2 linked regions of the Arabidopsis thaliana genome follow. The protein of the gene in region 1 interacts with the protein of each later gene in a pairwise test. Each region holds a gene or a part of one and is shown on either strand. Other genes may lie near its edges. The genes, in order: AT1G63840 and AT4G14490.

Region 1 (3,916 bases):
GGGATATATATACAAGTAAAAGTTCTAGTTTCAGTAGAAAAGTGTAAATTACACATATTTACTAGATAGCTCTTATATACTTATCTTCAATATAAATGATAGATATAGGTTAGCTTATTTTGTCAAAACAAGTAGCAAAATATAGTAAGCAAAAAATATGGTGAATGTATCTGCTAATTGATCTTTTGACGAAATATGAACAATACATAAGAAACCGGGAGTGAAAAACATGATTAGGATAAAATGATAGTCAAGTGCCACATGTTTCAAACAAGAATGAAACAAAATGATTATCCCATAGATAGATAGCTCCAGCATTGTCACAATAGATCACATGATAAATCGTAAAGGACACACCAAGCTCCTTTGTGAGAGACGTGATCAAACAAAAGTCAAATGCAATGTCCAAGATATATCTATATTCATGACGATTTCGCCATTAATTTTTGCTTCTTTCAAGACATGTCATCGGATGAGAACCTAAATACATGATGTTAGCACTTGTGGGGAATAATCATATCGGTTTCCGACTTCAGTTTTGTTATTACCACTTATAGAACATTTCAAATACCCTCAAATACATGTTGAAATATATTAGTTCAGCATGTTATAGGGATGAACAAACAATCTTATCTTCAATGACCTATGCATAATGCTTGTTGATTTTAAATTATAAAAGAAAGATATCATTGATGTAAGCCTTTAATCAAAAAACAATATGTCAGTATCATTGAGTTAGCCAGGTGAACAAGTAACAATTAAAAAATAACTTCTAAACAATGTTTATTAAAATACTGTACTAAAAAACTAACACATTCAGTATTAATCTGTTATAGCAAATGATTTTTTTTTTCCTTAACAAAAAAAAAAAGTTTACAACTTTATAATAACTCAAAATGTAATTTCATCTTTCAGGGATGGATAAGTACAAATTTTCTTCTTCTTTCTTTTTTCATTAACCTGTAACCACTACCTTTTTTTTTTTGTTTAATATTTACATCGATCTCACACCAAACCCAATTCCCAATGAAAGTACCAAAAAAAAAGGATTTAATATGTCTTTTTTTTTTGTTTGGACAAAGATTTAATACGTCCTAAGATGATGATTCATCAAGAAGTTGAGAAGAAACAGCAGAAGATTGAGACCAGAGCCTTTGATTAAACTCCAGTTGAAGATGATCAGGTATAAACTGTGTACGACAAAGTGGACACGTCATCTGATTATAACCCATCATCCAACGGTCCAAACATCCCCGATGAAATATATGTCGACAATTCGTCAGCCGTCGGATCTCGTCGTCGTTCTCGAAATCGTAGAGACACACTGCGCAACACTCGGATTCCGGTCGGTTTATATCCGAGAATCGAACAACCGGTAACATCTCTCCGGCTAGTATTGCTGCTGAGTCAGGTTTGGTCAACGTGGGTGGTGGGTCGGGCCATGAGGTTGAAACCGGTTCAGGTTCTAAGAAATCTGGTAGACCAATGATCTTGAACATTGTGGAGATGAGTTTACGTATCAAACCTAAGAAAGATAACAAGTAGAAAAAGATTTTTGGGAGAAGTAGCTCAGAATATCCCACCGGAAAACCCATTGCCTCGCCGTTAGAGAGATAAATGATAAGACAAGAGACAGAGAGAGAGAGAGAGAGAGAGTTTTGGATTGTGATGATAAGGTGGAGAATGGGTGAGATTTATATATAGGAATAATAACTTAATTAATGTATTAGTACTAATTTAATAGTCAATGAGGTGCTTTGTTTTTTGGTATTTTGATTCGTTAATAATTGTTCTAGATGAAGGATATTAGCCAGGAATGTGGTGATGATGTTTCTAGAGGTTATACTAGTAAATAATAGAAGACTACTTGACCTTTTTTTTTTCTATATAATTTAAATAAGGGTTTTAAATAATTTCTTATATGTATTTTACTATATAATAAACTCGTTACTTTCAAATTTCCATTTTAAATCAGATTTAAACACTAAATTTCTGTTTATTTAATTTTAACTTTCTTACAATTCTTGATTTATGAAGTGGTATAAAAGTTTTAGGAGAAAAGACATGTATACATGAAATACATAATGACATAATCAAAGATATTTACAATTGAGTATACATTATTTTTAATACGGTATACGGAGACAGAAATGTAACTTCTGCTTATAGCACCCAAGAATACACATAATCAACATATTACAAATGAAAAAAAAAAACTCATACCTAGGTTAACCCATGAGGGTTTAAATATATTAAACTTTTCTAAAAATCCCAAATATTAATTAGTCTATACTTTGGTTCAAAATCGTTCGATTACAAAATAAAAAAAATCGTGTTTTTATTTGAATCTTTGGTTCAAAATTATTGGATTGATGTTTTCAATGTATTTTAGCGTAACTGAATTTGGATTTTGACAAAGTCACTACAATACACGACTTATGTATTACGTTGTAATGTGTTAATCGTTAATTGGTATGGATTTTGACTGAGTTCTCTTTGAACTTCACTCATGTTCAAAGAGTCACTGCATCATAAATGGCAAAAAAGAAAAGAAAAAAAGAGAGTGGGAACTGCAACATAAGGGATCAGATCTGGATGAATGATCGAATTTCTGTTCTTAAAATACGATCTTCCTCCTCCAAAGCCGAAGGCTCCATTTTGAAGATGCCATCGGTGGATCTTGCAGTTTCTTCGCCATTATATTGTTCTCAAAATGCTTCTGATTCTTTATCTCTTTGTTAGATGAAAGAGAAATAAAACAATTTTGGGAATAATTATTTTGTTTATAATTTTTATGAGAAATACATCAAAATCAGAGATAAAAGGCTCGTATTTGTTTTACTCGTGATTTAGACAAAATAATACATTGAAACTCAAATGTAACAAAATCAAATAGAAATTGAATGACAGTGGATGTCACCGTGTCTTTGAAAATACATACAATTCCGTTAGAATACAATATTCAATAACCCCACTCTAAAAATTGATCTTTGCCTATAAGCCAAACTAGTCACATTCATAAATTATTAGAATTAAATTAAAATAGTCAGACAGACGACAAATAATCGAGGTGAAGACAGATAGTTAGGTTCATTTCTTTTCAGTTTGTCTGTACCTCTATTGAACTATGCTATAAGCCTATAAAGTATATAAACTATGAATATATACGTGTGTATTTTTTTAAAAAAATTAACTGTTTTAACAAAATATTGCAAAACCATTATTTCTATTTTTAATGTTTTTGTATGAGAAATTTTTGGTCTACATGATTTTATTTTCACATGGATGTAAATCATAAAGTATCAAGATTAGTAGTAAACAAAGGTATCACGATTACGTCGTTTTCTATGAAATTTTACCAGATTTTTTAATTGGCTGTTACGTTTTGGTATAAATATGGGTACCCAAATGTTACTTATGGTTGATAGGATTTGAGTTCAAATGCATATTATGTTTGTATCTTCACATCATTACATGACTAGTTGAACTATCATCAATCTACATATTCGTCATTTGCTATATTAATTACTAGCATTTTGAGAGTGTATACTAAGTATATTAAGACCTAAATTAATTACGTAGAAAAGTCCACATAGCTCTTCAATTTGGCTTTTGATTCCGTTATGTCAAATATACTTCTAGAATACAATATTAAGGGATCTATTTCTGAGGAAGAGCGAAAGTCTCATGTCATATGGGAATCTGACTAATGTAATGAAAGAGCCAAAAGCAGCACTGACCCACCTCACACTCTCTCCATCTTCTCCTCCAACATTTCACATTCCAAAATTTAACACTTTCTTTTTTCTTTTGCAACTATAACTATATACATTAACATAGTATATATATATATATATATATATACACATTAACATATATATATATATATATCAGTTAAGTACATATACGTCAATTT
Region 2 (4,371 bases), on another chromosome or scaffold:
AAACACAATGTATACTACTAGACACCTAAAAATTGATCGTCTATAGCTATCCTTAGAAACATATCTCCCTCGTCATTACCAATAAACCTAAAAGCAGTGGTCTGATTCAGATGTCATTCAAATTACTCTAAAGAATTCATTTTTTCGACTATTCCGCCTACTACTCAATGACTTAGCTTGTTCCTTGAGCTACATCATTCAGGCGTAGCATAAGGAAACGGATACAAAGCAAGAGTATAAAACTTAGATTACCTCAGGCTCATGACGCCAAGCCTGGTAGCTCATATTTGGAGTAGTCTTATCCATCATAGATTGCCATTCCAAAGCTGCATTTCCAACTTCAAGCAGCTGAAGCAGATGCTCTAAATCATTCTCTGTCACAATATCCTCTGTCACCGTCCCGTTATCGCTACCTCTGCAAATATAACCAATCCATAAATCAACTAATGCAAAAAAAAAAAAAACCATTCTTTTGCCAATGCTATTGCGAAACTAAAAGATAATGCAAACACTATATACCTTATCTAGCTAAATTAAAAGTAAACGTTACGTTTTAAAACAGAGAACTAAAACTTCTACATCTTCCAATAATTAAGCATTACACTAACCTTGAGGCCAATCCTGATTCATCATTATCCTCAACAGGCGTCTGCGACGAAGCTGAACCGGTCGCCGATTTATTAGCTCTGGTGTCATTCCTTGACCAGATGGTTCGGCAAACGGAGAAAGCAGAGAGAGCGGTGAAAGCAAGCCAAAGCCGACGAGCACCAAACCCAGGCGGTGCGGTCCATAAAAACCGAAGCTTAGAACGAAACCCTAAATAGATCAAACCGGTCCATCTTGGACGCCAAGACCATCCGATTAATAACCCGATCATAACGGCGAGCCAAATCGGAACTGCGCATAGTAAGATGTCGACAAATGTCTCTGTAAAAGAGGGATTCTTAAAGAAATTCAATAGATCAAAATAGGTCTCATCCATAGCGGATTCTCTAGATTCGATACTTTACTCCGATTTGGATAAAAAAATTTCCCGAGAAAAAATGTCAGATTCCCGAAGGAAAATGGGATTCGAAGATCGCTAAAAATTTAAGCGACATGAATCAGGAGAATCAAAGACGAAGACGAAGAAGAAGAAGAAGGGATAATAATAATTTTTTTCTTTTTATTTAATTGAGTTTGGTGATTTAATTGATTAAATCATAAAAAGAAAAAAATGTGTTCTGATATTATTTGCTGTGCTTGAAACGACGTTGGCGGGTGAAAGGAAATGATAAGGACAAGCATAGTGGCGATGACGTGGCGCTTTCGTTGACCGACAAGTTATATCCCACGCGTCAGATCTTAGCGCGTCGTGTTCACTACGTAGAGGAATATACTCAAAAATCAATTATTGTGTTAGCATTAGAAGCACGTTTTGTTGATTTGCAACAATTGTAGATAAGAGCCTAATTAATTTATAGGAGTAAGGTTAAATTTGGTTGATTTCGAATATAAAAGGGAATTTTAACAGTGGATATCCAAATGATGAGGTGAGATACACGCGAGGGTAAAGGAGCGTGAGGGGAAAAAGGTTGGAAAAAAAGTGGATAAGGGAGAGATAAGTTTGCTGAGAGATTCACGTGTGTTGCTGGAAGTTTGGGTAATCAATAATGCCAGTTGTTTAGCCAATAGTAGCTTTTAGCCTTGAAATTGTTTTATCGTCGAAACGATAAAAGCCCATTTAAGGCCCATTAATAATTGGAGCGTCAGACAAATCAAAATTTCAAAATTCGCATTTGGGAGAGAAACGGTAACAATGGTTACGCCATCGTTGAGATTAGTATTCGTCAAGGGTCCAAGAGAAGGCGATGCTCTAGATTACAAGCCTGGATCTACGATTCGTGTTGGTCGAATCGTTCGTGGTAATGAAATCGCAATTAAAGACGCTGGAATCTCCACTAAGCATCTTCGGATCGAATCGGATTCTGGGAATTGGGTAATACAAGATCTTGGATCTTCCAACGGTACTTTATTGAATTCGAATGCTCTTGATCCAGAGACGTCGGTAAATCTCGGAGATGGCGATGTTATCAAACTAGGTGAGTATACATCTATTTTGGTGAATTTTGTGATTGATGATTTTCAGGAGAAGAAGCTTACGAGGAACAATAGGCGTCAGGCTAATGCGAGGAAGCGAATTAGGGTTTTAGAAAGTATCAATTTGGGGGATATCACTGAGGAAGAAAAGGGTTTGGATGTGAAATTTGAGAACAAGCCGAGTTCTAGGGTTAGGAAAGTTAGGAAAATCGAGGATTCGGAGAAATTAGGGATTACTGATGGATTACAAGAGGATCTGGTGGAGAAAAATGGAAGCTTTAGGAATGTTGAAAGTATTCAGAGTTCATCTGTAAACTTAATTAAGGTTGAAATGGAGGATTGTGCAATGGTGGAGGAAAATTTAGGGAGGGGATTGAAGAAGAGAGTGAGCAGTAAGGCTACGAGGAGCAAGAAGATTGAAGAAAGTGTAGGAAAAGCTTGTTTGGGAGTGGTTAATGTAGAGAAGGTAGAGACTTTAAAGGAGAAGAGGATTACTAGGGCTACAAGAAGCAAGAAGATTGATATTGTTGGAGATTCTTATTTGGAATTGGACATGGTTCTAAATCGAGCCAGAAAGAACAAAGGGAAGAACAAGAAAGCGGATCAGAAGCCGTTGAAGAGCTTTGAAAATGATGAGGTTACTGATTCAGGAGAGCAGGGTTTAAGCTGTCATGTTGAAGAAGATATGAACAATGAACTTGATACAGATCTAAGAAAGATGACATTAGGAGCATTGTTCAGTTTTCTGGAGGGTCATCTGTCAAAAGAGATAATTCACAAGACAGAAAATATGATTGAGCCCATGCGAAGTAAAACTCAGAGAGTTCGTGAGTATATTTCAGATCAAAGAAAAGTTCAGGCTAAAGCGTGTATGTGTTGAATTGACAAAGTGTCCAACTGATATGGTGCACACTGATTATTGGTATAGCTTCAGTTCATGGAATAAGAAACACATACTGACAGGTACAAGTTTCTTATGAAGTAGACCTTAATGCTGTGGGATTGGCTGTGTTGCTTAGAGTTTTGACTGCATTGATTTACTTGCATTTGCTTTACGTGTGAGACAAAGTAAACAGTGAAGTGCTGATGTTTAAGTAGGTTTCATAAGTCTTTTGCCCACTTTATAGTATATGTTTCAAGGACATCCCTGAAGACTTATAAAACAAGTTCTGTTCCATTGTGATTTTATCTTAGCATATTGATGTTTGAATACTTGATCATTCATTTTACCAAATGTCAAGAAGGCTGACGTCTTTTCTCTAGTCTTTGTTTCCTTCTCATGTGGTCAAAGGCAAATGCAAGTTCTTCAGAAATGCCATGAAAAAAAAGTTGTAAAACGAGTCTAGATATCTAAATCTAGAACTTTAAATTTCTGTGAAATGATGAAAATAAATTTTCATAGCTCCATTTAATTTTTGTACCTTTACCGGTTTGAAGTTGAAATGATAGTGTTTGCCCTTTGGGTCCCTGGAAAGACCAAAGGTAAAATCTCATTAACTAAGGTTAGTTAGTTAGCTCTTTCACATGCTTCATCTTATTGTTTCATCAACATATTTTTAAGTAAGAGATAAGGGTTTTGCTTTTACATTAAAGGCTCTCTTTTTTTTCAAGTTCACATGCTAAACCAACTCTTTCTTTTTTCATCCCTATATGAATAGCCTCATGGTACTATTAGCCTCTAAAAGACCACAATTCCACTAAAAACATAACAATTCAATAAGCAAGAGTGTACTCATCTTCTTTCTATTTATGGCTCGGAACAAGCTCGAGTTCCCTCTTGATGCTGAAGCCTACGAGATCATCTGCAAGATAGGCGTTGGTGTTAGTGCTTCGGTCTACAAGGCCATATGCATTCCGATGAACTCAATGGTAGTTGCTATCAAAGCCATCGATCTTGATCAGTCGCGGGCTGACTTTGACAGTCTTCGCCGTGAAACCAAGACGATGTCTCTGCTTTCTCATCCGAATATTCTCAATGCTTATTGTTCATTCACCGTTGATCGATGTCTCTGGGTGGTTATGCCATTCATGTCTTGTGGCTCTCTTCATTCGATCGTCTCTTCGTCTTTTCCAAGTGGGTTACCAGAAAACTGCATTTCCGTCTTCCTCAAGGAAACTCTGAATGCAATCTCGTATCTTCACGATCAGGGTCATTTGCACCGTGACATCAAGGCAGGTAACATTCTGGTAGATTCTGATGGATCCGTGAAGCTCGCTGATTTCGGAGTATCTGCATCCATCTATGAACCCGTGACATCTTCCTCTGGAACAACATCTTCTTCTTTAAGGTTA

Evidence for each region.
Region 2: the proteins of AT1G63840 (region 1) and AT4G14490 interact in a two-hybrid assay, tested with the Arabidopsis thaliana proteins (one large-scale study listed by BioGRID).

Annotation. Positions count from the first base shown.
Region 1 is NC_003070.9:23,688,897-23,692,812, forward strand, and holds AT1G63840 (RING/U-box superfamily protein), read right to left. Parts: upstream 1,912-3,916; 5' UTR 1,596-1,911; coding exon 1,095-1,595; 3' UTR 707-1,094; downstream 1-706.
Region 2 is NC_003075.7:8,331,002-8,335,372, reverse strand, and holds AT4G14490 (SMAD/FHA domain-containing protein), read left to right. Parts: upstream 1-1,793; 5' UTR 1,794-1,798; coding exon 1,799-2,959; 3' UTR 2,960-3,570; downstream 3,571-4,371. Other genes in the region: AT4G14500 (Polyketide cyclase/dehydrase and lipid transport superfamily protein), read right to left, coding at 253-415, 609-982; AT4G14480 (Protein kinase superfamily protein), read left to right, coding at 3,829-4,371.